Tamandua tetradactyla: one gene and its partners. The protein of the gene in region 1 interacts with the protein of each later gene in a pairwise test. Links are inferred from orthologs where the notes say so. Each region holds a gene or a part of one and is shown on either strand. Other genes may lie near its edges. The genes, in order: KHDRBS2, EWSR1, CHTOP and NCOA5.

Region 1 (7,960 bases):
TGGCAAGCAAATTCAGAGGTCGAGAGGAACTTTAAGATCATGCTGCGTTTGCTGTTTTATCATATTCAAAAGCATCTTCCATAACAAAGGGCTAATTCAACAACGTTATAACCATGGGAGAAAAATTATTTTAATTACTCAAAGATACTATAAGCACTCTTGAAACCATTTTATTTAAGATCTACTCACATAACAATAAAATATTGAGATTATTTAAGTATTTTTAAGTATTTTAAGTATTGTTTAAGGCTTTCTCAGAACCATCCCTACTGAAAATACACAGCAGTAGCAAGTGAAATAAAACAAACAACAAAAATAAACAAAAAAAACCCACAACAAACTAGTAGATTTAACGCCTCAGTCTTCAATCCAAACAATGTAGACACAATTGAGCACTTGATCTGCATCTACTACCAATCAAAAATCAAAATAAATCATTGTGAAAGCTTATTGGTTTACATCACTACCTTTATATATACTGTCTTCCGGAAAATCATTCCCAAGAACTGAATCATCTGCATCATTTTTATTACTCACTCAGTCTTGAGATTGTCTGCACAGTACTGACTGAAATGTACTTCAGTGCACACCTTCCTTCCAAATGAATATCTATGTCAGGTTTATTTATAGGCATTGCCTTCAATCAGTGCATTTCCAAGTGTAAGAAAGAAAATCATCTCAAGCACGCTCTGCTAAAGAATCTGAAACAAAAACCTGGAAAGCCTGGCAAATGGCCTTTGGAAAGATAATGAAAGATCTAGGATAAGAAATGTACAATAAAATTTATTAGCGACTCTAAAAGACATTCACCTTATACACTTTAAAAGCACATATCAAGAGTCCGCGGTACAATCAGAGAAGTAATTTAAAATGCTCTGTGTCTTTTTGCATAAGTCTTTGAAGACCCCAAGATTATCATCACCTCCACTCTCCTTTCCTCTGTACGATTTCTCTGGAATTTGAGAACCTCTCTTTGTTTCTTACTTAAATGCTTTCCCCCTCTATTTAGGTGCTTTTCCTCTTAATTCTTTATAAAAGCAGGGCATGCTTCCCCCTACTGGGAAAAACTCAAATTACACAGTTTATCAGAACATGTTCCTAAGTATCAAGAAAGCCAATTCCTGAGAAAGATAAAGTGTTAAAGACCCAAGTACATATTCTTCTCTACTGTACAAGCCACAGAAGTACCTATGTACTCTTAAGAATTTGTCATGTGTACTGTCTTAGTTTGGCAATTTTCAAAAGTACTAATGATCTATGAAATCTGAGCCCGTTGTTCCAAAGGGGACTCCAATTAACAAATCAGAGAAAAAGATCAATTTTTAACTTCTTTTCATTTTTGAGGCATTATCACCTAAATGAAGACACTTCTAGAAAATATATTGAAGTATCTGAAGTGTCTTAAAAGCATTTTTAATCCATTTTGAACCATCAAGCATTTATAGCTTCATTATTCTCCAATATCCTTATTATTTCATATTGCTGCCTTAAGTTTTCTAATACCTGAGGGAGATTTTAATTTTTAATTGACTTTTAAGCTTTAATTTCTATTTTTTCCATTCTTTAACCAAAGTAGTACGCATACTTGCACTTTACCCTTCCCAAAACCTCTGCAAAATCTGCCTCTTTCTTGAAAAGCAACTTACTTGTTTCAATCACACATTTCAGATTCTGACTGTAAATCATTTTGTTTAGTTCAAAAAGACAGAAAATAATTTATGCTGACTTGTTCTAAGCAACACTCCATCAATAAAATATTAAAATAAAATTGTCTATTTCACTCACATGTGGAGTAACAAAATTTTTCCTTCCATATAAATTGCTTCAAAAAGAAAACACTCCTTTTAATGCTGAGGGGACTGGGGAAAAGGAAATTGTCACTTTTAGTTTTACTATAGCTAAGACTATAACAACCCAAGCTAAAAACTGCATTGTAGCCAATTTTATGATGAAGTAATTTATTATTAATGAAGTATTCATCCCCCCCAGAAAATCTGTAGTTGTTAAAAAGAAAAGTGTGTGTAGATTACTACAGATATTCCAAGTGTCTTTCGTTGTTAGAAGGCATTATTTCACGTAATGTTTCTGCCATTCAGAAGTTGTGTTTATGTGTCTTTTTTTTTAAGACATCCTTTCAAAGCAATGCAAAAAATAATTTTAAAAGACAAATATTTCTCGGGGAATGAAAGCTCCTTTAAAATTACAGGTACACAAAGGAAAATGTACACTTAGTTAAACAGATGATCAATTGTGAAGTGTTCCTAGGAAACAATACCTCGAAACGTATCCGATCATCACTTCAAGTCAATGTATAACCACTTTAGTCCCTGCTTACGACACTCACATACATATAAGAACATGCACAGTTTCATCTAGGTTATTCCTAATACTTCCCATAGGAACTAGATTGTAATTAGATTAAAAGGTTTCAAAATCATTTGCAAAATGCAGCCAAAAAAAAAAAAAATGCTGATCTACAGTCACGAAGCTCTTAGAACACTACACGGATAATCATTTACTTCGAAACTGATTTCTCTCTTCCCTCTGCGAAGTGAAAAGGTTCTTGCAGACCGCGTTACACTTTACGGTTTCTTTGACTATCGATGATCCCAACAAGTCACATCATCACGACTGCCATTAGCTCTCGCAGCTTGAGTTTTCCCCAAATTAAAACGTGGAGAAGGAGCATAGCTGCCTGCCCCAAGCACGGGCTTCGTCTGCCAGAGCTCTGAAGCGAGCATCTTCAGGGGGAACAGCTTTTACCAACGCGGAGACAGACGTCCCTCCCCAACTTCTCTCCCCTAACCCCGTCGCGGGAGCGTAGGGCGGCCGGGAGGTCCGAGCCCATCGGAGGGGCAGGTCCTACCTTCTGCCAAAAGACGCGATGCGTGCACAAAAGATGGATCCAGGCTATCTTTCTCTGCCATCAGCTCAGGCAAATATTTCTCCTCTTCCATAGCGCGGACTTCGGACCGTCCCCGGGCGAAGCGCAACGTTCCGCTCGCTCCGACGCAGGGTCGCCGGGCAGCCCCGAGCTCCCGCGCTGCTCCGCCTCCGCCGCGGCGAGGGGATCTCCGTCGGTCCTCACTGGCCCATGCACCGAGCGCCGGTGACTCCCGCCGTCGGACTGCGCGGCCCCGCGCCCACACCTGCCAGTGTCTTCCCTTGTCCCTCGCTCGCGCCAAGCCCCCGCTCACACCAGTGGCCTTAACTGGAGAGGCGGGAACAGGGCGCGTCCCACCTCCTCCGGCTACTCATTGGTGGCGGTGCTCGAGAGGCGGGGTCCCCGCGAAGGCTGCGGACCCTCATTGGACTGCACTGCACGTCGAATCGTCTGACTGGCAGGAGGCAGCTGCAGAAGGGAGGGGAGCGCAGAAGGCGCAAAAGCTTTCTTCTTGCAGCCCAAGCCTTCCCTGGTTATTAGGCATGCCCAGTTCTGAGGAGACCTCTGTGTCTTCAACCGCGGTAAGGAGAGGGAAGGGAGCAGGAAAAGCACCTGTTAAATGCAGAAGCTCGAGACCAAGGAGGTGGGGTTGAGGAGAAAAAAGGAAAGGGAATGGGAAAGCGCCAGGAAAAGTCTTAAGAAGGTAGATGGGACATCACCTGTGTCCCTAAGGCACAGGTGTCTCCTCTCTTTCAAGCCGCTCAGATGCACTCGTGCTGTGCAGGAATAAACAGTGCACCGGGTCTGGAAATAAAATGAAGACCTCATGTGATCGGCGGCTGGCATTTCCGATGAGCCTGACCTACATCTCAGGGACGCAGTAGGATGTTTATTGATAAACAAATAAAGCCCTTCTGGGGCTATATTGTTATCCAACAGTAAGCTTCAGTGTACAACAGCTGGGGTATTGAATTAGTTCTTATTTCTCTCACATCTGCGCTTTCCCTTAATTGTTGCCCCTAAGAAAGGGTTGGGCGGAGGTCGCTGAATTTAAAAACTGAAAATCGACATAATCAATCGGCTAACGTGTGTGAGGGAATTGGGAAGAGATGTGGAGACAGGAAGAGCCTAGAAAATTAGTAACCCTAATTTTCTAATTTCTAGAAAATGTGAATGCTCTAATTTTCCCCTTTCTCCTTAATTTAGATGTGACAGTCGCTTTCACCAGGTACTGTTGTTGAGCTGCTTTATATCTAGTCCACTTCTATTTAAAGAGAGAGTTAAATCCTCTCCATATTACCAACAATGGATGCACAATCCATAGGTCTCTCACCAATGATGCTTTAAAATGTAGCTTGTGGGCTTCAAAAGCGAGGAAGCAATCTTTCCCATGGTCTTGAAAACTCTTTTCACAAACCATCATTCTCCAATTTCCCCTCCTCCACAAATTCTAGTGCGGGAGGAAGAGGGTCCACCACTCTACAAATAAAGCTTGCTGAAACTTTGTGAGGTACACTTACTTCAATAAAATCTCTTCCATGTGTGTACATGTGCTTAGATAAAGCCAGGGGATTATCTCGAAATTGTAGTGTTTAAAAATGCCTTCACATCCACTGGGAAAATATTAATTTCTCTATTTTATAGATGTAGAAACTGAGGCAGAGACAGAGAATTTCAGTGACCCAAAATTCACAGTTAGTTAATGATAAAGTTGAGATTGTAATGAAGCCTATTTGGTAGCATCTAGTTCCAGATTATAATGCCTTAGCCAATCTTTTTTGTATTTTAATTATTAAATTTGTTTTTGCACGTATGCATTCAATAAAGTTTTGTTGAATATTGAAGAGTATAGGCAGTATGCTATAAATTGGAAAACTATTGGTGAATGAAATACATGCTGTCTTTCCTACCGTCATAGAGATGATTTTCTAATGGGGAAAGACCAAGAAAATGAACACAAGAGAACTGGTAATTGCTGACTGCAATAAGGGTCCAGAGGAAACCAATCAAAGAGTTAGGGAAAAGAATACGGTTTTTGCACTTAGCACACGATGGACATCATAAGAAAAGATATATAAACTACATTACTTGAATTCTTAATTATTGCTTCAGAGAGATACTAAATGTCTTTAATATAACTCATCACTTAGACTTTACATAAAGAGCCTCTGTGCTCTTAAGAATCAATATGTAAAGACTTGTCCTATTTCTAAACAGAATATTTTGAACAAAGGCAAACTCTCAATTGCCCTACACATGTACTCATTCAGCACCACATCCTTCTGTTTTCAATAGATGGCTCCATGTCACTGCATTTCTTGGTTAACTTCACAGATAAAAATTTTATAGGTGGCACAGTTATTTAGTGACTATTCTCAGAGCTACCTTACAAATGCAAACATTTTATAAACATAAAGATAGAAGGCCCTCTGCAGTTGATTGTTGAATAGATAATACTATGTGCCTATACATGTGAAAAAATGTATAGCCTCTGGTAGTCCACCTCTTCTAATGGTATAAATAACTTAACTTGAATCACCACTGATTGACTTAGGCTTAGCTATGGGCTTAGCTAAAGATTTATCTCATTTCAAACATCTGTTCAGGTCCTTAAAGTTTCTGTTGTTGTTTCCCCCCCCTCCCTTCCTCTCTCCATTTCAAATGAGGTATTATGAAAGTTTTCACTACAACCATATTTGGTTCAGAAACATAAATAAGGCATCCACTGTACAATAGTGGTTATTGCACAAACTGTGCATTCAACACTTTCACACAAATCTTGGAAGAAAGGCCAGGCTAGAGGGAATTCAATCAGGCTTATCTTTGCATTCTAATAAGAAGTACCTAATCTTTATAATAAAATACACAATACCCCACACAATCAAGATGGCAGAGTAAGATACTTCAGGATTCCATCCCCTCACAGAAGTTTTCCATGATCAGCAAGAACAGGCAGAAACATCTTTGTCAATACTTCTGAAAACACTTGAAAGATTTCAGTAACAGACTAAGCACCAAAATCAAGAAAAAAAGTCTACTTAAATCGATAAGATCTTGTGGCGTCCTCGCTGGCCCCACCCCAACTCATTATCAGCTCTGCTAGGAGCCAGCCTTCTTCCATGTGAATCTCTAGTCCCTCTTCCAGAGGGAGCAGAGTGGCCCTCGTGCACCTGCTGGGAGCATGCATGCCTGGCCTATTCTCTCTGGTGTGGCCTAAGGGACTTACTCTCCCACTACTTGGCCCTGCATGTAGAAGGCTGCTCAGAGAGCACTCCAACACAATGCAAGTTGTGCTTCCTGAGACAAGGAATTGCTGGCTGTAGGACATAGAGTGCAGTGAGGAAACTATTTCTTAGGTAAGAGGAGACATTCATAACTAAGTAAATAGGGGAATCCTAGGACCATACAGGCATGCCCAAGACAAGACACAGCCATAGAAAGGATCAGGGCAGGCCTTGAGGCTTTGGCCTGCAGCTCTTCTCATGCAACCCTTTGTGTAGTAAGTCCAGAGGGAGAGCCCTCTCATAGATGAATTTGCAAAGACTGGGAAAAGTGTTTCCTTTTTTTCCTCCTTCTGTTTTTGTGTTAGCTCCTGACATTCAAGGAAAACTTAGTCATAACAGTAGCTGGATACAAGCTTAAGGAACACATGATACAGAGGAAAACCCATTAAAATATCAGAATATCCAAGTTTCAACAAAGGCTTACAAAATTTACAAAGGAACAAGAAGCAATGACCAAAGCACTAGACTCCATCAATAAGGAGAACAAGACTTAAGATGCAACAGAGACTTTTAAAAATGATCCTAAATATGCTCAAAGAGCTAAAAGAAAACATGGAAAAAGAACTAAAGATAATTGGAAAAATCATAGATGAATGCAAAGGGAATATCAATAGAGAGATGGAAACAAAACTGAAAACCATTATAACAAAAATAAAAATCGAAGGTGGTGAGGGTATCACAATATTGACAATGTGACTAATACCATTGAATGTTTGCTTGGCAGTGATTGAGATGGAAGAATGTATATTTTATATATGCTACCACAATTAAAAACAATAAGAACAATTAAAGAGACAATAATATTTAAATGCAACACATCACCCTTGATGGCATCTAGTAAAGGTAATGCTCAAAGGGGCATTATCTGAGCACAAAAAAAAAAATTGTAGGCTTTATATCAATATTGAATTGTTTGCACAGGATAACTTCACTTAAGGTCATTATGTAAATGAATATCTTTGTTCTTAGGAAATAGCAAAATTAAGTGTTCAAGAATCATGATAGATCTAACCTATGCTCAAATGTTCAGGAAATGGGTAAATGGATGGGTGGATGGATGGGTGGAATGGGATGGATGGATCAATGGATGGATGATTGGAAGATAGATAGAAGACAAAATGATATGGTAAATGTGGCAAAAAATTAAAATTGAAAGGTCTGGAGATCTGAAGAGTGGGGATATTTTGGAGTTCTCTTTATGGGGTTTGCATTATTTTTATAACTGTCCTGTACGTTTGAAAGTATTTCAGACTAAGAAGTAAAATATATATATATATATTTTATTAATAAAATGCAGTTTCTTTTTTGTTCATGGTTCTCACCAACTTTGGGTATACTTGTACTTTTTTCTATATATCTAGGGATTCACTGACAGCAAGAACTATGGTTCAATGAAACCGTAGCACCCCAATAATTTATTTAATTATAATAGTAAGCCAAGGGTAATGTTAATTTTGCCCTCTAAAGCCTCAGTGCCTAGCATAGAGTATAAGGAACTGAAATACTGACTGACTCACTTTCACCTACCTAAGTGTCTGGCAAAGCCTATTACACAGAAGATGCTACTTGAGTGTTTTTGTTTCTTGTAATTTCACTAACAAGAGAAGGGAAATCAGTTCCAGCTTCTTCTATAGCTTCCATAATGTAATTTAAGCTTGCAAGAAAGGAGAGGGCGAAGGGGATTTGGCTCTGATACCAATAGCACTACCATAGAACAATGGGAACTCTCTCACGTTATGTTTTCATAGCTACAATTTATGCTATATGCCACAGAACACTAACCACTGAAAAC
Region 2 (7,587 bases), about 84 Mb from region 1:
CCAAAGGCTACCTATATTGAACAAATTGATTTAAGATAGCCTTAAGGCATTTTCATCAGCACTACAATTCATGACGTTTATGTGACATATAAAAGTAAACCGAACCATTTCTTCCATGTGGCATTCACAAAATAAACACACCAATAAAGCATGTGAAAACATATATTTCAGCCAACATTTTGTTGAGGTTTCTGAATGAGAAATGATTCTAAATCGCTGGCATGTAAATTCTGTTTGCAATAGGACTTTTACACAAGAATAGTTATGTAAAACATAAAATTGGCAAAGATGATATGGAACTGAAGATGTGACTGGCATGAAACTAGAAGATTTCACCCTACCCTAGTGGGCTCACCAATTCCTAAGGGAGATGGCAAGTTTGTTTCATGAGAATTACATACAGCATGGATATTATATGGCCTCAAATATGCTTCAATTATACCCCGGTCAAATTATTTAGTGACCAATTGTGTTCTCTTTTTAATTCCCAAATGTGCAGCTGAAGACTTCACTAGAAATACTGGACTGGTTGGGAGGAGGAAAGAGGCTGGAATTCAGGGGGTCCTCTAGGGTACTGGCAATATTCTGTTTCTCCACCTAGGTGGTGGTTACTTGGGGAGTCTGCGTTGTAATTCTTTGTGTTCCAATGGACATAGGCTTTAGGTGCTTTTCTATATATGATATATACAAGAGGGAAAACATGCATTATTACCCAAGACAGCAGCTTTACGGCAGTCACTGTCTAAACTGTGCAGATTTAAATATTCAACTACATAATGCATTAGAGTCAGTATGGGGCAACTTTGTGGAAACCAAAATGCTTTGCTGTAAGGTCAGAAGTTAAGGACTCAAAAAGTCCCTAAAAGATCTAGCCTCGTTCACTCATTTTTACAAGAAAGAAAATTAAGGTCCAGAAAAGTTACATGACTCCCCAAAGCCTCACACCACCACCACTTCCCATCCCTGTCCTAATACTATTGTGTCTGCATAAAGCACAATTGTAATTGTAGTTTAAAAAAATCAGTCAACAACAATCAATGGAAGTTGAGTAAAACTGACCGAAAAACATGTCCAGCCATGCTGAAGGTACACATCTGCACCCCTCTCCCCAGGATTCAGCAGGGCAGGGACAGTAACATTCAACCATTGCCCATCCCAAACTTGGACAGCCAGCATTTACCCGTTTTACTAATCACACAGTACGGTAAAATGAGAAATATATCTTTAGGTTGCTAGATTACGGACCCTTTTCTGAAGAAAACTCTGAACGACCCAGAGGTTATCCTGTCTTCCCCTCTCATCTCCTCTGTTTCTAAGGCCAGGAATCAGGAGGCCTAAGAATATCTCCAGAGGCAAAACTGCTGGACCTAGCAGATAACCGCCAGCTAGGGAATGGACAGTTTGCAAAACGGCAGGTGCTTAAGTACACTTTTTAAAAATTCTCCATGCACCAAGGACCACCTCACACATCACATTCTGGAGTTCACAAGTCTGGCTTTCTTTCCATGTCTACCGAGAGCCTCTTTTCCCTCTTCTTTTAGCAGCCCACAAAATATATAAGCCTATCGGCCCGACGCAGGCTATTAAACGCGTGAAACGATTGCTTAAGCACAATTCAAATACTGGTGCCGACCTTTTGTTCCTCTTAGGTCGAAGAACCCAGAAATTTCTTTCCATAGAAATTCAGGCCTCGCAATCCAGACTGGCCTTATTATACAACAGATCTCCCTCGGCGTTTGCAATAAAAATGGACTCTAGGAATCACTTAATAGCTTTTGAGAAAAGGAGGAAGTGGAGTTTACAAATAATGAAAAAAAAAAAAAAACCCCAAAAAGCCCGAGAGGGCAGCCGATTGTGGGGTTCAAAAAGATGGAGCACATTCCGCCCAGCGCCCAGTGAAGCAGAAACTCAGCTTTGGGGCTGGAACGCGTGGAGGGAGCAGCTCGGTGGCTCCGGACTCCCCCAGCCGACCCGGCCTTAGGGATGACGGGGCTCCCGCTCATAGGCCGAGCGAAAGGCCGGCGCCCCCCGGCCCACAAATCCGCGACGCCTTTTTTGTTTGTTGTTTTTTTCCCCTAAGCTTCTCCTGGAGGTAGGGTCGCCCTCGGGCTCGAGCCACCTCTCAGGAAACGTGTGTTTGAGGGGGTAGGGTACACAGGCAGCGGGTCCACGGCTTTCCCACGCGCCAACCGGGCCGCCTCCACACGGACTTTTGCAGACGCCAACTCGAAGCCCAACCAAGCAACCACCTCCAGCCCCGCGCCCCACGCAGCGACCCAGAGGCCGCAGGCCCCGCCCACGTGGCGGGCTGCCCCGAGCGCAGGGCCGACGGCCGCCACACAATGGAGGCCTCGACGGGTCCCGCGCGCCCTCGTCACCGCGCGCCGCCGCAAGCCCCCCGCGCGCGGGAGGCGCCGGAAGATTCTAGAACCGTCCCGCCCGGTGGGGGAGGGGGGGAAACACGGGTCTCCAAGCCCGTCCGGCTGTGGCGGGCAACTGAGACCCCTCTCGGCAACCCCACTCAGTCGCCCCGGCCACCTCCAGAGACGAGTGGCCCCTGGTTTGGGCGTCCCAGTCGACGCCGGCGCGACCGCGGTTCCACCTCACTCACCCGTGGACGCCATTTTCTCTGCTTCCTCCTCGTTCTCTCAACGTCCGTCTCCCTCTCGCCTTCCCTCTAGGCGCCGCACTGCGCAGGCGCGAAGCCCGCAACCTCGGACGCTACCATGGGACCAGGCCACGGGGGTGTGGGAGGACAAGGAGGAACCTCAGCTTTCTCGCCCTTACCGCCCGCAACTCTAGTCTTAGTACTCTCTAAAGAGCGCCGGATGTGACGTGCGGGCCAAAACAGCACTGAAGGAGCCGGAGCGGCCGTTGAACAGATCTCGGTATCAAACCGAGGTAACTCTCCGCACGAAGCTGGGTTGTTCGGAATGGTTACGTCCTCTGGCTCTAGGGACCGTCTGTGAAGAGTCTGGCCTGGAGGGAAACGGAGGGCGGCGGGAAAGCTGGGGGAAGGGATCCGGGCCTAGGACAACTGCTGACTAATCGGCGGGCGGCGTGCCGGCCAGGCGGTAGGGGTCACGCGCCAGGTGTGTGAGGAATGGGCTCGGGACTCCCGGGCCTTGGCGGTGGGGTAGAGTCCTGACTCCTAGGCGGGTGCCCCGCGCGGCCTCCCCGGGGTCGAGGGCGCGCTCTGTAGTGAGTACCCTGGACACGTGGTGCGGGCAGCGTGGTAGGGGGCCGGGGGCTCATAGGCTGGGTGGGAGGTCCGAACGCTAAGCCCGGCCCCGAGAGGCCCCCACTAACGGTCGAAGTTAAGAAGGTCCCTTCGTCATCCCCATCTAACGCCCTTGTTTTTACGGAAGGGGAAACTGAGGCCCAAGGAAGTTTGGTACTTGACCCAAAGTCACAAAGTCTGACCCATACCCTGGGACCTTTAACCTTCCCACTCTCCGGAAGAACTTTTCCGTCCTTGTCTTCCCATTCTGTCTTCCCGGCTTCCTATTAAGGTAGGCAGGGCTTGATCGTTGACAGTCCCATTATATAGATGAAGAATCTGGGCCCCAAAAAGTTCAAGTCCCAGCCATGCATGTTGACGTGCAAGGTGGCCTGGGAGGGAGTGATTGTGAAAAAGTAGTAGAAGGCTTGCAGATGGGCCTTGGACCCAGACCCAGCCTCAGGGCAAGGCTCGCACTTGCAAAAGACAGGTCTCACCCCAAATTCCTTAGTGGGACCCGGAGCCAATGCATCTTTCTTTTGGTGAGCACGTATGAAGTGCTGGGTGCACCCTGGGGAGCTTGGGATAAGTGAGAGGAGGCTCCTCCATGATCTCAGACTGCCTGCCTAGGAGGAGGACAGATAAGCCAAGCTGTGCTCATAAATTAGGATAAGATCCCCAGTGTGGGCCGGCGGAGGAGGCCAAGGGGACCTTTGAGCTAGACTTCAAAGGACGAATAGGAGTTTGCCAGTTGGAGAGACAGAGGGAAGCATATTGCAGATGGAGGAGCTTTCCATATTTTTCCTGCTGGAAACTGGCAGGTGGGTTTCACTGCCAAGGATGCTCTTGGCAAGAGAGCAGGTGAGGCAGCGTTTCTTGTCTCTCTAGGGTCTTACTTCCTGGGGGGCTTGAGGCAGGGTGGCCTAGCCAGCGGTGAGGGGCTTCCAGCAGGGCTGGAGGACAGGCCGCCAGGAGGAGGGAGGACAGGCTGCCAGGAGGAGGGAGGACAGGCCTTGTCTTGCGCACTAGTGGGCCAGAGCTCGGACCAGCCAGGCTGGAGGAGTTGTTTCTAAGCCCAGGCAGTGAGCCAGTTTGGCCACCCAGAGCTGGTGACTCCACCTGCCTTCCAGGATTAGCCACTAATGTTTATTGAGTGGGAGCTGTGGGCCTGGTCCTGCTTTAGCCCATTCCTTTTGCTCTTCACCCTAGGAGGAGAGAGGCTCAGATCTGGGGAAACTCAGAGAATGGAACCTTCCTTGGGAAAGAGTAGGCCAGGGCCAGAGGGGCTGTGCCGAAGGAAGCGATTTTTCTCAATCCCGTGACATTTTGTAGAGGTGCAGGGGGCAGGACTCCTGTTTCCCTGCCTCCAACTCTTTTGACTTTACTCTCCTTCCAATCTACTTGCCCACTGGCTGGCCCGCTTTGCAGACACTGCCTTGCAGGCTCCACCCCCTGGGTCTAGGGCTGCCAAATGGCAGGAGCTCTAAGGCTGGGCACAGTGGAGGGAGGAATGGGGGATGGTGGCTGCATGAACTGACTCCCACCCAGAGAGAAGAGGGAGGCATAGGAGGGCTGGAGATGGCCCTGAATTTTCCCTGAGGGGCTACACTCCTGTTTCTGGGAGCTCTGGGCTCCAATTTGACTTCCCTGGCTCTGTGCCTTTTACCCCTGACTCCTCTTCAGTGCCCATCAGAACTCAGGGCCCTTTTTCTCAACCACTGCCCATCCTCACACAGGGGCAGGCAGAATGGCAAGGTGGCTGGGCATATGAGTTAGGGTCTGAACTCTGCCATGGTCAGGTTGTGTGGCCTGCCTCTCCAGCCTCAGTTTCCACATCTCCAACATGGAGCTGTTGGCAGGGTCATTGAGAGTGAGTCAGTGAGATAAAGTCTATGATAATAACCACTGTTACTATTCTCCTTTATTCCCAGCATCCAGCCCCAGGACCTCCCTCGACCACCCTCAGCCAAGCCATGTATGCTAGAGGCACCTCTGGCCTGCCGACCCTGGTCATGCCCCTGGCCTCCTCAGCTCTGATGCTGCTGCTGAGTGGTCTGTGGCTGGTGGGGGCTGGCCCCAGCCTCGCCCTGGCTCCGGAGCTGCTGCTGGAACCCTGGCAGGGTGAGGGCCATCCACGAGGCCTTGGAGGAGGCAGGAGACTTGCTGGGGAGCCAAGACCAGTCACTTGCCATCTCTGGGCTTTGGTTTCCTCATCTGGAAACTAGGGATATCAGCAGCAGCTCCTCTTATATCAAGGACAGTTGGACAGAGCTGCCCAAGCAGTTCCCTGAATGACTATATAATACAAAACAATTAGAATCTGATGAGTACCTATCCATCCATCCAATCATTTAGTTAGCACATATTCATTGAGCATCTACCATGTACCATACACTGCTCAGTGCTGGGGATGCAATAGTGAACAAAGCAAGGTCCTTGTTTTCATGGCATTGACATTCTGGAAGGGGGAAACAGACATGAACAAGTGAATACATAGCTGGTGCTGAGAAGAAGGTGAAATGGTGTGGGGGGAGCTGTGAGTGATAGGGCTCTTATAGAAGGCCTTCATGACAGGGTGGCATTTTCCAGAGCCCTGCAGGGGGCAAGGCTAGCAGCCAGCCAGGCAGGAGGAACAGCAAGACAAAGACTCTGAGGTGGGAATACATCAGAGTGTTTGTGGGACTGCCAGGAGGACATGGGAATGGGGTTAATGGGAGGGGGGGGGGCAGGAGCGCATGTGGGGCCTTGAGGTCTGTGGTAGGACTTCAGCTCCAACTGGAGTGCATTGGAAGGATCCCCTGGCTGCTGTGAGCAACCAACTGAAGTGGGAACGGGTTGAAGCAAGAGCCCAGTGAGAGGGTGACGGCAAAGATCCTGATGCAAGATAATGGCCTGGCCCTGGAGGCAGGGGATGCTTTGGGGGTAGTAACTGAGGGTGAGAGAATACAGGGGCAGGAGGTTTGGTTGGGGCCTGAGCTGCTCGGAGGATGGAGTTAACCACTTACTGCAACAGGGAACCCAGTGTAGAGTTTGGCTTTTGGATATGTGAAGTCTGAAATGCTGATTTTACATTCAAGTGGGAGAGTGAGTTGGCTGTTGGACACGTGAGACTGGAGGTAGCAGATTCTGTGTCAGAGATAGAAATGTGGGAGTTATCAGCATATTGATGACATCTGAAGCCTAGACTGGAGAGGATGACCATGTTATATGTCTGTGAGTGTAGACACAAAGCTGCCCATCAGATCTGGCCATGTATAGCTCATTGCAAGAGTGGCTTCCCCAGAGTGGAGGGGACAGGCATGACTAGGAAAGGCAGTGGAGGCAGTGAAGGGTGATGACTTTTAGTAGTCTTGCTGTAAATAGGAGCAGAGATGGGGCAGTGGCTGGAGAGAAAGACCTGCAGTGTGCTTGACAGCTGACAGGAACAGCCCAGGACAGGAATATCAGTGCTGCAGAAGAGAGATGACTTTGGTAGGAGTGGGATGCACCCTGCAGTGGCCAAACAGGGATGGGGCCTAGGTCCCTGGGGAAAGTTGGCCTTGGATGGAAATGTGCCCAGCTCACCCCGGGCCAAGAGAGGGCAGAGGACTCAGGTGGAGGTCGAGCAGGGTGGGGTGGGAGCCAGTGGGTGGGAGTTCTTTTCTGACAGCTTCCCTTTTGCATTGAAATAAGAGGTAAGGCCTTCAGCTGAGCATGAGGAGGGGGAGGAGGTACTGGGGGTTCCAGGAGTGACCCCAGCTAAGCACCCGTTTTCCAGTAATAATAGCTCCAATTTACATTGGAGGAAACCAAATAATTTTTGGTTTCAAGGAGGTTAAGTGGCTTGTCTAAGGTCACCAGCTGGGAATTGGGGGGGCGGGTACAAGGACTGAAACAGGCAGGCAGTCTTACCAGCACCCCTGCTCCCAGGGTGTAGGATTCAGCAAATGTGTACTTAACGCCCCCCTCCCCAGTTCCTGGGATATAGCAAGAGCCCACCAGTGGCTGCTGGCGAGAAGCCACTAGAAGACTAGTGGGTCTGGACTTTTTATAACACAACAGGGGAGTTGTCCCAGTGTTTGGAAGCCCGTGGTCCCCTCCATGAAGGTTAAGTGGGTGGACTGGCTCCTGGGGAGGGGAAGCTGGCTCAGAAGTTAGCCCTAGCGGTAGGGCAGCCCCCAACTTGCACCTATGCCCCTCCTTTCTCCCAGCACACAGGCTGCTGACCCACGCCCTGGGCCACACAGCCCTGCCAGGCCTGCTCCTGAGCTTGCTGCTCCTGCCAGCACTGGGCTGGCAGCAGGAATGCCGCCTGGGCACCCTACGGTTCCTGTATGCCTCTGTCCTGCTCGCCCTGGTGGCTGGGCTACTGGCTGTGCTCCTGGCGG
Region 3 (6,933 bases), on another chromosome or scaffold:
TTTGCCCTGAGCCACCACGTAACCAACCATCACATCCTGACAGCCTCAGTGGACTGCCTGACGGAGATCACCAGCTGCTTCTGGAGTATTAAAACCCATTCTCTCACCTGCTTCAGTTTTAATGCTGCCTGGACAGAGGGTCTATTCTCCATCTGCTGGGCCAGTCTTCTGTTTCTGGCACTGGCTAGCTGCTGTTGTTGCTGCATCGAAGCCCGAATATTCACTGGCATCGGTTGTTTGTTCTTCAGCATATTAGTAAAGCTTCAAGGTCGAACAAAATGGATGTTTAAATAAAAGCTTTATTATAAAACATTTATTGGCATTTTCATGGCTTGCTAGATCAGGAGCTCCAGATCCCACGAACTTTTAAGTAAAGTGGTACACTTAGATCAAGGCTGATGTGGGTTAAAGACTCCTCTGTTTCCACAAACTTGCAAGAATCAGAAACTGAGAAATGCAGCTAAGTGCGGCACATTCAATCAAAAGTGATAACAAGGGCTCAGGTAACGGCTTTTAGAGAGGTGGAAAATATGAAAAACACGCAATAAGCAGATACGATGACAAGAGACAGAAAATGTAGTTTCAAAGACAAATGAAGAAAACCAAAACCTTGGAAGACCCGAGGGTGCATTCTAAGGGCAAATATGAAGAAGGATTAGAGTACCTTCAAAGCCATACTAATGGGATATACAAACACCCACATGCATTTTAGGAATATATCACATTTTTCTATATTTATTCACTTAGTTGCATGTGAACATGGATAATTAATTATAGTACTGTACCCTAAAAGACAGAAGCACATATGTTTCAGAAAAGCAAAAACATATATTAAATAAATCTTAGTGGTCTATCATCAACTTAATAAAATGACCAAAGGCACTCAATGAATAAAGCTCCTCAAGATAGAAACTGCCTTTACACACCTTTTCTCAGTTTTGAATGATCACCTTTTCTGGCTCCATATGATTACTTCTGATAAAGTTATATTAAGTGACATTAGCTGAATCATTTAGGAGCCTGTGAAGACACTTCTCTATTACTCCTGTCAAGGTAAGTTTAATGAAATGGAAGAGAACACGTAATGTTTACAGAATACAAAACAAAAACAAATTAAAAGCAGAATGGAAAGAAAGTGAAATGGAGCAAAGCAAGTGCCTCTTACAAGGTCCAAGAACAACATTCAAGGGCCTTTGGACAGATTCACGGCTTGCTACCTGCCTCTTACAGGCCAAACACAACACTGCTGGCCTTGGACTGGGCAACAAGCCAACTGCAGCCAGGGTACCATGCTACCACGCTGCACCACCCCTGTATCAATGTAAAAAAAAATGTGAAGAAAAGGGAGGGTGTGAGGAGTCCTTTTCAAATACATCCCACCAGATAAATGTTTCAGACAGCTTAACATAAAAAGCTACTGATAAGGGGTTTTGAAACAACCGCCCAATTTGTTTTGTGTACCACATAAGATGCAACTAGGAACAGAGGTCTGTAGCCTTCTGTTGGTATCTAGTTAGTTTAAAACCGGTTTTTGTGCATTGGACCCCAGGGCCAATTTAACAATGTTTTCTTATGAACGCGCTGAAGTTGCTGTTGGCTGCCTCACCGCTCATTTAGAGACATCTTGGTGGTGCTTTTTAGCACAACTTTCGGTGCTGATTGTGCAGCCATCTTCAAATCCCGAGAATCTACAAAGGACAATAGACAGAATGAGCAGAAAAGCAGAATGGCCATTTCTACAAGGGCCAAGGCCCACACCAACAATGAATTAAAAGATTTGTATCACTGACAATTGTTATCATGATGAGCATATCAAAACTCACTTCAGGTGCTTACCTTTGTAAGACTGTTACCTCAAACTATAAAAACTTCACTGCTACAGAACAGAAAGTATCTGCCAAGTCTCCAAAGATGGCAGAGCCAGAGAGCACTAAATAAGTGCTAATTTTGGCTTTCAGTCTAGAGTAGTCATTCTTAATCTTGACTGCATGTGACTTACCCTGGGAGTCAAAAAGAAAAAAACAAACAAAAAAACACCGAAGTCTGGTCCCAGACCAATTAAACTACCACCTTCTAAGGTTTGGATCTGGGGATTAGCAATAGTTTTTTTTTTGTTGTTTGCTTTTTTGTTTTTTTTAAAAAAGCTACCTGGGTGCTCCTATATGCAGCCAAAGTTGAGAATTACTGATCTAGAGGGAAGATACAAGCATGACCATGAGTGGTTTCAATACTGACTTTCGACTCCAAAACTTGCAGCGAGCTTAACAGGGAACTAGGAACCTAAGGGAAGGACGAGAAAAGGTTTCCTAAATGGGCATTCACCAGGAAGTTAGCTCCCAGAGAGCCCTCCACAGTATTTAACCCTAAAGTCATCATTCCAACATTCCCCAAAGCCCCGTAGTCCTCATTTCACCTCCCTACCATCTCAAAGTCCCGTCAAGGCCGCCAACTTTGTTCAAGACGCTAAGTTTCCTTTCTTCCACTACTGTATCCCAAACTTCTCCATCAAACCCCACCAGTTTCCAGTTCCGCCCCTCCCCCGCTTCCTCCTCCGGGCCTCCGCCCCCTCCCTGGGCCTCCACGCTCCAACATGGCAACCTAACTTCTCCCACACCCCACTACCCCATTCCGCGCCCGCCAGCTCGGCCCGCTCCCCAACACTTTTCCCCTCTTCTTCTCACCGCAGAAACGCACCGAAGGAAACGGACGCCAGTGCTCCTCCCGGGGCGGCCACCACGGCTAGGCAGGCAGGCCGGAGACCGGCCGAACCCGAGTTGACGGCGGGGGAGCTCGGGTTAACTTGGTGGGCGGTTGATTAGATACGAAGGCGGTAGGTTGCTAGGTTAGCTCGTGGTTGTCCTCGGCTGTTTGGCCGGCCGGTCTCTGTGCTCACCCGGCCTGCCCTTTCCTTCCTTTCGTCCGTGCTACCACAGCTGCCACCAACTCCCGCTCGGTGTCCAAAACAAAATGGCCGCCACGCCCGGTGCGGAGTGGGGCCGGCTAAAATGGCGTCGACGCCATTACATCAGACGTCAGATCCGCGCACAACCGGGGGGCGGGGAAACGTTTGTGGTACGCCCGCGCGGGGGCCAGGGGTGGGGCTCGAGGGAGAAGGTGGGGTTTTGCCGAGGCACGTTTGCGTAACTACGCCGCGCTCGGACGGCGAGGGGGCGTGGCTAGCGGACCCGGGATCGGGGCGGACGGGTGTTCTGGCCCGTGGCGTCAGGACTTAGCACCGTACTCTCCCTGGGTCGTGGCTAGTCACGGACGCTGAGAGGGGCTTGTGCCCCGATGAAAAATGAAACTTGTGTTCTGTCGCCCTTTCCCCAGTTAAGGCAGACCATCTAAAAGTCTTTACTGGAGATTCTCCCCGGTTTTTTTCCCCCGGACCCCCGGACCCGGGGCGTTTACTGTTTTTTCCTTTATCCTCATAAGCCCGGTTCAGCGTTGAGAAGTGCCGCCAGCCGGGGCCGCGGAGGCCGCTTTAGGACACACACATCCCCGTCCGTATTTTCCTCTCCACTTCTTTCCCTCCCGCAGTTGGTCTGAGTGCTGTTTAAGCCTTACTGGGGAGGAGGGGAGACGTTTGTGTCCCTTCCGCGCCCTCCTTCCCCCTTGCCTTCCGGACCTCCCATCCCTAGACCTGTGGGGTTTTCCCTGTGGTTTGGTCCATAACAAAGTGCTCCTATGTTTGAGGAATGAGGGAATGAACTCATCCTGAATCTCTTCCTTTACCCCGTATGCACTCATGAGGAGCCATTTATTTTCCTTCCTAGAACGTGGCTTTGTGTGTGTTTAGTAGTCTAAACACACACACGTTTTAGACTTTACATGGCCCAAGTCCAGTAAGGACAGGAATTGTGTCTTGTTCACTGCTCTATCCCCGGTTCCTTCAGAACACCAGCTTAGGGTTTTCAGTAAATATTCTTGAGTGTTGAGGGAGAGATTCTTCTGGCTCTATAGCTTAGAAGCTTCCAGCTGGAAAGTTGAAACCCCACGTTCATGGGCCTTGAGCATTTCTCAAGTAGGACTGTATATGCCCCCCCCTCCCCCCAGTAAGACACCTCCCGGCGGCGTAAGGCCTCTCCCCAAATTAGGCAAATTGGAAGTAAGCAGCTCTCCAACATTTGGGCTACAGAAGAGGCAGACAGTGGGTGGCTGGCCAAAGAAGAGCCTTTAATGTAAGTGCACTTGCAGGCCTGGCCCACTACTCTTGTGCCCTTGATGGGGATGGGAGGAGCGTGGGGAGGGGAAAGGGGGTGGGAGGTAAGCCGGATCAAAGGGCAGATCTGCCAGGGTGGAGGGGAAGGGCGCTGCCCACTGGGGGTGTCTGCTCAACTGTTCTCCCAGAAGAAGTTGTTACAAGCCACGGTGAGGGCGGCCACCAGCACCACGTACTCCTGGAAGTCCACTTCTCCGTCTCCGTTCTCATCCAGTTCCTTCATCACCTTGTCCACCGCGTCCGCATCCTTCTGGGCCTGGGTGGGGGAGAAGGGGAGAGGGGGAGAGGCGGTGGCACGGCGAGTCCAGCGTGCCTGACGCTGAGTTAGGAGCAAGGAGGGTCGTTGATTGAGAAGGAGGCAGAACTACATCGAATGGGACTCCTGTGCTCCCCTCCTCAAAACCCCAATACCCATGGGCTCCTGTTGCCCACAGGATGAGCTCCTCCACAGCGCGGAGTAACGATGGTCACAGCTGTGACCATCCTCGGAGTGCCTTCAATGTGCCAAGCTCCACAGGCATTGTCTAATTCCTCACAAAAATAGATTTTTTTATGAGAGGTAGATTTCATTATTCCCAGTTTAGAGAAGAAACGAATTGACAGTCAGTGGTTAAGCAAGCTGCCAAAGTCACACAGCTTGAAAGTGATAGGGTCAGAATGCAAATCTGGGTCTATAAATAAATAAAAATAAAGTGTCTGTGTACTTCCTACTGTATCCTGAAGGTTCTCTTTTACCGTAGGGCCCCCGTTTGCTTTTGTGGCCTAATTTTGTGCATCCTTCACTCCAGTCAAATTAAACTTAGCATGCTCCACCTTCTTTTCTTCTCTCATGTTTTTATTCATGCTGATACTGCCTCCTAAAATGTCTTCATTTACCCCAATAACCTGCCAGTGGAAATCCATGGCTCAAGTGGCATGTCCTTGGAAAAGCCATCCCACTGTAATCAGGTTAATGTTCTCCCATCCCCTTGCAGGTACCTCTAAGAGCTCTTTGTACTTCCGGCCTTGTTATTGATGAATCTATACACAGCCTTCACTTAACAGGTGATCAAGAAACCAGGGCATTTTTGTTGTTTTTAAAAAATATTTTCGGTGATGAATCTTAGCACACATACATTCCACACATGTACAATCAGTGGCTCACAATATCATCACATAGCTGGGTATCCATCACCATGATCGATTTTTAGAACATTTGCATCTCTCCAGAAAATGGAATAAAAAGAGAAAAGAAAAACTCATACATACCATACTCCTTACTCTTCCCTCTCATTGACCACTAGTATTTCCAACTGCCTGATTTATTTTAACCTTTGTCCCCCCCAATTATTTGTTTATTTTGTATCCGTATTTTTTACTCCTCTATCCATATGCTAGATAAAAGGCGCATCAGATGCAAGTAAACCAGGGCATTTTGAGTTGCACCAGGAAGAGTAGGGGGGCCTGGAAAAAATTCAGGAGAGGTCTAGGAGAGCAGGGAGAAGGCTGGGCTGAGTGGGGGTGGGGTGGGGCGGGACTGGAGATGACAGGAGCGTGTCCACCCCATTCTGCCCACTTGCCCATCCCACCCTCTGCCCACTCACGTCCAGGAAGCCGGAGAGCTCGGTCTGCAGCAGCTCTTTCAGCTCCTTCTTGCTCAGCTTGTACTTGTCCCCCTCCTTGCCGGAATGGGTGTGGAACACGTTGATGAGGGTCTCCATGGCCGTCTCCAGCTCAGAGCCCATTGCGGCAGCTCACCTGTTCACCCCCACACACAAGCACACACGCCATGGAAGTGAGTGGGGGACCAGACCCAGGGCATCCGGGGTTGGGGTGGCGGGGAGGAATCTTGGTCTCAAGCCTGGCTCTACCCCACAGTCCGAACCCTCACGAGATGGGAGCCCCACAGCAATTCACCCTTCACTGAGATATTATAATAGGGAAAACTCAGGCAGAACTAAATCCAGTCCTGCTCTTTGGGTCCGTTAATCCATATTCCAGCCAGACAGGGTTTGGGGCATTGGAGAGAGAGTGACTGGGCTGGCTCTAGAGGCCTGAGGAGGGTGGGGCAGGCAGAAGTGGTCACAGGGCCTGGCCAGGCTGCCTCTGAATCTATTTTTACCCTGCGCCTCATTTGCCCGCATAGCCGGGCTCTGTGTGCTATTGGGGACAGTGAGCTGGGGTCCTTTCCATGGTCTTGACTCTGTGGCCCACCATTAGCAAGGAGTCAGTGTGCTATTCTTGGTGAGCCTGAATGGAGGGGAGACAGTCGGAGTGAGTGGCCTAAGACTCCTTGGGGGGTTTTCACAGCCATTAAGCTATCTGTCAGCAGCTTGGGGGCTCCTTTTGGTCCCTCAACTTTGTTCTTTCCAGAACACGTCATTTTGGCTTCCCTGAGGTAGGCCTCTCATTGCCTCTGGTTCAGCTCCTCTTGCATCTCTGCAGAATCAGCCTTTCCCTTGGAGGAATGGTGGGAACGGACAGGAATGTCTGAGGCTTATCCCTGGAGCCAGGGCTCCCAGGGAGGGGGAGGGGAGACCTGTAGGGCCTTGTCTCCCCAGGCCTAGCCTGGTTGATGTGGGGACAGTGAGAGAAGGGGGAATGGGGCCGGTGTGTATTGGGGAAGATAAAGACTCAATTCCTGAGGTCCTTTGAGGGGCTGGGAGGGAGAAGAAGAATGGAGAGGACTGCTGAGGCTGGAGAGGGGAGACCGTCAAGCCAGTGGGTCTCTT
Region 4 (7,071 bases), on another chromosome or scaffold:
TAATATTCCTTATAGCCTCCAGTGTTTTGGGGCAGCTAAAAGGAAAAATCTGAGATAGTGGAATGGTAGCCCATGACAAACTCTGGGATCTGTTCTGTAACTACTTGTTGAAGTGTACTTCGAAAATTATCGCTTTTTTCTTTCTTTGTTTTGTATATGTGTTACATAATAGAATAAAAAAACATCACTGGGGGAGGAAGTTCAATAAAAATTTTGATTTCCACATCTTTTAGAACTGGGAGTTAATCAATATTGTCTGATATTGAAAGTTTGATTTTTAAAAATGACTTTGACTACTAAATAATTGGCAAAGTCTTTCTCTTTCCTGTACACAAATCTTGTAGGAACTAATAATGGTTATCAGGAACATTTGATATTTGATATCTGATGATTCCTTCAGTGTGGAGTTGCCAAATAAAATACAGTACACCTAGTTACATTTGAATTCCAGATAAATGATGAATCATTTTTTAGTATAAGCATGTTCAAAATATCGCATGGAACACACTTATACTAAAAATCTTTCGTTGTTTATTTAAATTTTCATTTTGTTTTCTTATTTGCTATATATGAAATTCTACTTCAATGTCATTTCAATGTTTTTATAAATATTAGCTATCATATACAGGATGTAAAGTGCTATACAAATGAAACACATTATAATGGGGAAAGTGTGGATACAATTGAAAAACCATGGGACTTTGAATTAAAAACTTGGGTACTGAGCTCTAGTTCTGCCTCAACATCTCAGTAAATGCATGACTTTGGACAAATCACTTAATGTAAGCATCACTTCCTCAAAGTCTATAAAATTGGGTTTTGTGTGTGTGTGTGTGTGTGTGTACATCTCATTTAATCCTCACCATGACCCCAAGAAGGTGTTACTATCTCTGCTGCCAAAATGAGACACTTGGGGCTTGGTTGAAGCTCTGTGAAGCAGGGGCCACATCTGTCTTGTCTCCCATGCCTGAGCTTAGCCCAATAAACATACCTGGTAGGTGCTAAGAAAATACTGAATATGTAAAAGAGTCCCAAAACTCATATCATATTAAAGGGAAGAGCCAAGTTTTGAACCAGATCTTTTTTATTCCAAATCTGGACTCTTTTATTTTCTAACTTTTCATTAAAAAAAAAAAATTTAGGTGTACTTTACATATAGTAAAATACACAATCTTTAGGGCACACCTCTGTAAACGTTTACCTTTGTGTATATCCCATGTAATAGATCAAGATTAACACATTTTCCTCTGCCCTGTAAGTCTCCTCAAGCATAGATTTTCCCAGTCTATGCCCCCTCCATCTCCATCTCCCAGAGCTAATTTCTATTCTGACTTCTATCACCAAAGATTTGATTTAATCAAAGCTCTCACTCTTAAATTCTAGATTTCCCCTCTCCTGTGATGTATCAGATCAGATACAAAGTGTATGTAAAAGTGTTTTATAACCCATTAGGCGGTGTCTGAGCCCCCTCGGTGTTTAGAATAGGTCCTTATGTCAGCTCACCCATCACCCATCCAAAAGTGAAAATGAAATAGACTCTATTATGCCCTGAATTTGTCCAAATGGAAGATTTTACCCCAAGATTTTTTTCTGATCCTCTTCAATAGTCCTGTCTTTAAAAAATTGCCAATTTCCTTTATCATAAATCTTTCGGCCCTCCTTCCTCTGGATATTCCTGAATCTCCACCCCCATTAGCCTAGAAGTGGCTGGCTTCACACCTACAAAGCACGTTGAAATACTAAGAATAATACTGATTAGAGAAAAAGCAAATGAATAGCTCAAAAACATTCTTCTACTATTGAATATACTATTGAACCCACTCTTCCTTTCTTACTTTTTTACTCCATTCAACAAATATTTCCTGAGCACCAACGCTGCTTCCTCAGCAGGGGTTATTGTTTATGTAGAATTCCTCATTGCCCCAAATTGACCATCCTGTGAGTCATACAAGGCAAAGCTCTCATGGCTCCAAGGAAACGCATGCTCTTTAGTATTGGCTGGATATTAAACTAAAGCTTCTTTCCCTCAGGCTCCCCTTACTAGGGGAGAACCACTGAGCTCAAAGTCATTACCAAATTGTAGGACCACTGAGCTCTAAAGTTCCATCTGACAGAAATCAAGCAGCTTCCGTTGTAGCAGACTTTCCTTGTATTCGTTGGTCAAACTTTGCAGGACCACAATTGAAGGTTTAGAGGCTGTACACCATTCAAGTACCCGTGTCTTGGAAGGGAACTTATCTCAGAAGATGGTGTCACACAGTTAAATGAGCACGTTCAGGCAGCAAGCTGTGCTGGCTTGAGTCCTGGCATGCCACATGCTCTCTGTAGACTCTCAAGCAAATTAACTGGCCTTAATGGCCACATCTGTAAAATGGTACCTACATTATAAGATAAAATGAGGTCATATTTGTAAGGGACCCAGCACATTATAGGCACACAATAAATGTTACCTATTATTATGTAAGTCAAACATCTAAATGGGAAGACATCTTCTGTGTAAGAATGTCTGCCTACGGAATTAACTTTCCCCATCATAAAATATTCGTCACATTATATTACTATAACTTGTTTATTGCTTGTATTCCCTACAAGGTTGTAAGTTCTCTGAAGGCAGGGACCTGGTCTGTTTTGTTCTCCATTCTCCACAGTGCCAAGCACATAATCACACATTAAATGTTTGTTAAATGCATGGATGAATACATCAAGCGCTGATTTAAGGAACTGCCATACAATCCTAAACCAACAATCTCTTGCTTGGTTATCTTAATCTAATTATCATGATTCTTCCTTCATCAAAGAGGAAAGAATAAGAATCAACATTTGTAAAGTAGTATCATTTGACAGGCTTTGTGCTTTTATCTTTAATCTCATATAATTTTGTAAAGTAGGAATTTTGATAACCATTTTGCTTGTGGGTAAACTAGGGCTCCAGTTACACCCTCTGGAATCCCTATTCTTTCCTTCAGAGCATTTAACTCAGTTTGCAGGGACACACTCAAGTGTGAGTATCCACCTAAAGCCATCTCTCCACTAGACTGTAATCTCCAAGACAGCAGAGATGGGTCTGCAAGCGCTCACAATAATGCCTAGCAAGTAGGTGCATAATAAATCAAGGGCCACCAAGCAGGTGTATAATGAACATTTGGTGAGTAAATGAGTGATGTGAGCACATGAGTGGGTGTCAAACAAACCTGGCTTCCCATGGTGTATTCAAATGTCACAGCCACTATTTTTTATAGCATGCTCACTATTCACAAGACCCCATGGGGTCTGAGGCATTTCCTAACTAATAAAACAGCCTACGGGATTCAAACAGTGATGGCTGTGATTGATAGAGAGTATTTAAAACTGTGTGAGCAAATTCCATTCCCTGTGACAAATATATTCTATAGATTAAAGAACAGTACAATGTTTTACATGCTTCACAGTCGACAGGTACATTCTGGGAAATCCGTTCTTGACACTGAATAAATATTCCAGGAAGAAACAAATAACTCAAGAAGAATCTGTGCAACTATCTCCGAAAGCCTTTTGCCTCTTGTCAGTGAAACTAATAGGGTACAAAACCTATTTAAATGTAAATTTAAATAAAACATCTTCTCCACCTCTTGGTTTCCGTGTGCCAGGTGATCCCGGAGGTCAGAGGAATATACACAACTTCCCACACACATCCCCCACCTTAAAGAGTCAAAATTTGGGTTTGGAAAATTCAATAGTTAAAAAAATATTATGCAAGACTAAAAGCAAAGGATTCGAGGATTGAAATGTTCTATTTCCACAGTTAGAGAAGAAGGAGTGTGCTCTAAAAGCGAGGGCCGGGGCAGGGGCTGGGGTTGGGGGCGGGGTGGGGAACAGAGACTTGACCATTGACCCTTTGGAGGAGGGCGCAGGCCTAGAGCCTATGCCCAGACCTGGACGCCGTTTCTAGGCAACCCCCAGCGCTCAACCACCGCCCTAGAGCCACTTCCCCGCCCTCATTGCCAGGGTGATTGACGCCTTAATTCAGTGCTGTCGTAAACCTGCCCGGTCTCGCGACACTGTCGCACTTGCCGCTGCGTGCGCGCCCTCTGCCCCCGTCTCCAATCTCCGCCCCGGCCGCCATTGCCTCGTGCCCGCGCCGGTCGGTTGGTGGCGCCTTTGTCCTACAGCGGGCAGGTGGGCTGAGGCGGAGGCGGCAGCGGTGGGCCTGAGGAGAAGGAGCGGCCGGGAGCCCGCCGCGCTGGTAGCGGTGAGTGCCGGGAAGCAGTGGCCGTCCGCCAAGACGTTGGGCGAACTGGCAGGCGGTTGAAGGGGGGGGCCGGGGCCGGACGGGGAGGCTGAGGCGGGAGGGCCCGCTGGACGCGCGGCCGCGGCCTCGTCTCCTCTCCGGGTGCGCGCGGGTCTGCGCATGCCCTGTGCGGGGCGCGGCCTCCCATGGCTCTCCGCAAGTCCAGGCCCGGGGCCTGGACAGCCTGTGGTGTGGTCGAGTCGCGAGGCGCCGCACCTCAGCAGCCCCTCAGTGCGCGAACCGCCGATACTAGCCCTGCGGCCTTCTCTGTGGGGTGCGGGGCTGCACGCACTTCGCCCGCTTCTCGAAATGGCGAAGTGAAGTCGCTCGCCTGTCGGCGCTCAGCGAGTCGATGGCGCAGTCGGGGCTCGAACCCGGGCCGCTGCGGGCGTTCTCGCGGCGTAGTGCGGCGTGCGGAGCTCTGGTGCCCGTCGCCGCCGCCCGGCGGCCCCGTGACCGCATCCTCGGGGCGTCTCCTTATCATGTGCCACCCCCACCCATCTTATAGACGCCGACCCCGGGTTTAGAGAACCGGGAAGGGAACTGTGCCCGAGGTTCCGCCGGAGAGTGGCGAGAGAGCCAGCGCTCGAACCTGCTGGCTGTCCTGTTCCCTGACCCAGGGCGCTTTCCGCTCCCCGACACCTGCCCAGGGGCCTCTCACAGGACGGCGTTTCCCACATTTCCGTCTCTCGCGTTCCACCCTCACGTCCGTGTACCACCTGTACTGCTCTTTACTAAATGTTATCTTCTCACTCTTTCGTGAATTTATTTGTTCGAAACGGAAACTTAAATCACAAGCCGTTCATTGGAAAGCCAGTTATCTTTCTAATGCTCATTAAAAAAAATAATAAATACCTATCTGTTAAAGTAAACAGTGCGTCCTTGTTCCTCCTGAAATTTATTTTGCGTTCCACGCTTTGGGAAACGCTACCCTAGCAGTGTGGGTTTATGGGATTAATTGTAGTCCTTCTGGCTTTGGCTCTGTGCACACAATTTTTCCCTGAGGCATAGCAGATTCCGTGAGATGCCCTGGGATCTTCGGGGATGGTGATTAATATCATATAAGCTTTCTCTTGTAAACTCTTGTCATTGTTGGCAAGTAGTTGGTCCTGTCAAATGCAAGTACTGTGTACAAGTGTACCTGGTGTGTCCCCTCAGTTTTCTCACAGCATTGCGGCGTGGTAGCCATCTGACAGTTTATGTCTCTCCCAACACTGACCGAGCTTTTTTAGTTTCTGACGACTCTAGATTTAATGCTTTGTTTTGTTTAATAAGTCACCTTGGGTGTGAAAGCTCACTTTGCGTTAACTTTTGAATCAGTAACGCTCTAACTTTGCATTGTGGATATTGGAAATCATTCCTTACTTTGGTTTCTTTGCCTTTCTATTAGTTCTTTTCTCTGTTCTTTCACCCTCCAGATATTCTTTGAAACCTGTGGCATGGTCTCAATCTAAAACGTAGAAACACTGATTTTCCTGGTGGGATGTTCTGAAGAAACCATATTGTAAACTTCAGTGAAGGAATCTTTCTAGATGCAGGTTGTCCAATGTTGCAAGCCTATGAACACCACACCTTTAAAGGAGGCATTGGCTCATTAAGTTCTTTATAAATTAATAGTCTGTTTTATTTATAGTCTTTTTATAAGCTCTATTTTTGTGTGAGAGAGAGCAGATATAGCTTAATTCCTTGAAAGGAAACTCAGAGAAATCAGCTCAGGCCATTCAAAGCTTTTACACAACCCAAAGGCTTTGTAAAAGAATTTTCCCTGTTTAAAAAAAAAAAAAGTTCTGTTGGCGTTACTTTGATATAAACACACTGTAGAACCCATAGAAAGCTAAGGTCATTTTCATCAAATTTCCAAGAAACAGTCCTGTGTAGAGAAGAAATAAGAATTTGATTTTAGTCAGGTGTAAATTTCAGAACTTTAGCAAGTAGAGCTTCATCTACCAGTGCTCAAAAGCTGGGAGTAGACATCTTTTGGAAAAGGCTTTAGAAGTCTTTTGAGAAAGAGCTTGATGGTTTACAACTTGTTTTAAAAAACCATTGCGATTATTCCATGCCTATGACCTGCAGATGGCAGTGCCTTTGTACAGCTTGTTGCTACAAGAAGAATTATTGGAATTCAGTTGTGCTTTTAAGAATGGAAAACTTTGGAGGAAATATGTTTAATTTTTTATTCCCTTCAGTTTATGCTGTTCCTTTGCTTTTGACTCCCCACATGAAGAATGAAATAAATGCTCATTCCTAAACTTACTATTAGTGGTAATGATAACACAACCAGCAGTGCATATGATTTACAAATCAGGTTTACAAATATCAATTCATTTGCTCCTGCTGACCATCTTGAGATAATCTCTCGGTATTATATCCTCTTTTACGTATGAGAAATAGTGGCTCAGAACATATTCGAGATATTATCAGAGATAAAAGAGTTCGCGGTCAAGCAAAATTGAGAAATGTAAAGGTAAAGCTGTGTTCTTACTCCAGATTTTCTTAGAGACTTTAACTTGCTAAACCAGATATCCAAAAGAGGAAGATGTCAGTACACCTTTCTCTTGTTATCCTCCCATCAAACATCTTGAGGTGTTAGTGTTCACAAAAATCAATTACTCTTTCTACTATACTGTGTTTCCCTTGTGGTTTATTAATAATTATGGTATGTTTTTGAGATAAATGCTTTTTAAAAGCTCATCGTCAGCTTTTTTGTGCCAAAAAAAAAGTTTGTCCTACACATTTGTCTAGACTGTTCTGCGCAAATGAACTGTCAAAAAGTTAAAAGAGTAGTGACCAAAAGAAAATTTAAA

What was found.
Region 2: the proteins of KHDRBS2 (region 1) and EWSR1 interact in a two-hybrid assay, tested with the Homo sapiens proteins (2 studies listed by BioGRID and IntAct). The two-hybrid records come from large-scale screens. The link is inferred for Tamandua tetradactyla from reciprocal best matches to the Homo sapiens genes KHDRBS2 and EWSR1.
Region 3: the proteins of KHDRBS2 (region 1) and CHTOP interact in binary tests that used the Homo sapiens proteins (3 or more experiments, as listed by UniProt). The two-hybrid records come from large-scale screens. The link is inferred for Tamandua tetradactyla from reciprocal best matches to the Homo sapiens genes KHDRBS2 and CHTOP.
Region 4: the proteins of KHDRBS2 (region 1) and NCOA5 interact in a two-hybrid assay, tested with the Homo sapiens proteins (2 studies listed by BioGRID). The two-hybrid records come from large-scale screens. The link is inferred for Tamandua tetradactyla from reciprocal best matches to the Homo sapiens genes KHDRBS2 and NCOA5.

Annotation. Positions count from the first base shown.
Region 1 is NC_135331.1:118,113,240-118,121,199, forward strand, and holds the start of KHDRBS2 (KH domain-containing, RNA-binding, signal transduction-associated protein 2), read right to left. Parts: upstream 3,012-7,960; 5' UTR 2,958-3,011; coding exon 2,867-2,957; intron 1-2,866. UniProt on the Homo sapiens protein: RNA-binding protein that plays a role in the regulation of alternative splicing and influences mRNA splice site selection and exon inclusion. Binds both poly(A) and poly(U) homopolymers. Phosphorylation by PTK6 inhibits its RNA-binding ability.
Region 2 is NC_135331.1:33,760,935-33,768,521, forward strand, and holds the start of EWSR1 (RNA-binding protein EWS), read right to left. Parts: upstream 3,013-7,587; 5' UTR 2,625-3,012; coding exon 2,612-2,624; exon of another isoform or gene 2,422-2,611; intron 1-2,421. Other genes in the region: RHBDD3 (rhomboid domain-containing protein 3), read left to right, coding at 5,194-5,341, 7,411-7,587. UniProt on the Homo sapiens protein: Binds to ssRNA containing the consensus sequence 5'-AGGUAA-3'. Might normally function as a transcriptional repressor. EWS-fusion-proteins (EFPS) may play a role in the tumorigenic process.
Region 3 is NC_135330.1:6,433,395-6,440,327, reverse strand, and holds the start of CHTOP (chromatin target of PRMT1 protein), read right to left. Parts: upstream 3,012-6,933; 5' UTR 2,682-3,011; intron 1,689-2,681; 5' UTR 1,672-1,688; coding exon 1,607-1,671; intron 262-1,606; coding exon 108-261; intron 1-107. Other genes in the region: S100A1 (protein S100-A1), read right to left, coding at 4,335-4,478, 5,806-5,946. UniProt on the Homo sapiens protein: Plays an important role in the ligand-dependent activation of estrogen receptor target genes. May play a role in the silencing of fetal globin genes.
Region 4 is NC_135327.1:6,165,978-6,173,048, forward strand, and holds the start of NCOA5 (nuclear receptor coactivator 5), read left to right. Parts: upstream 1-4,071; 5' UTR 4,072-4,228; intron 4,229-7,071. UniProt on the Homo sapiens protein: Nuclear receptor coregulator that can have both coactivator and corepressor functions.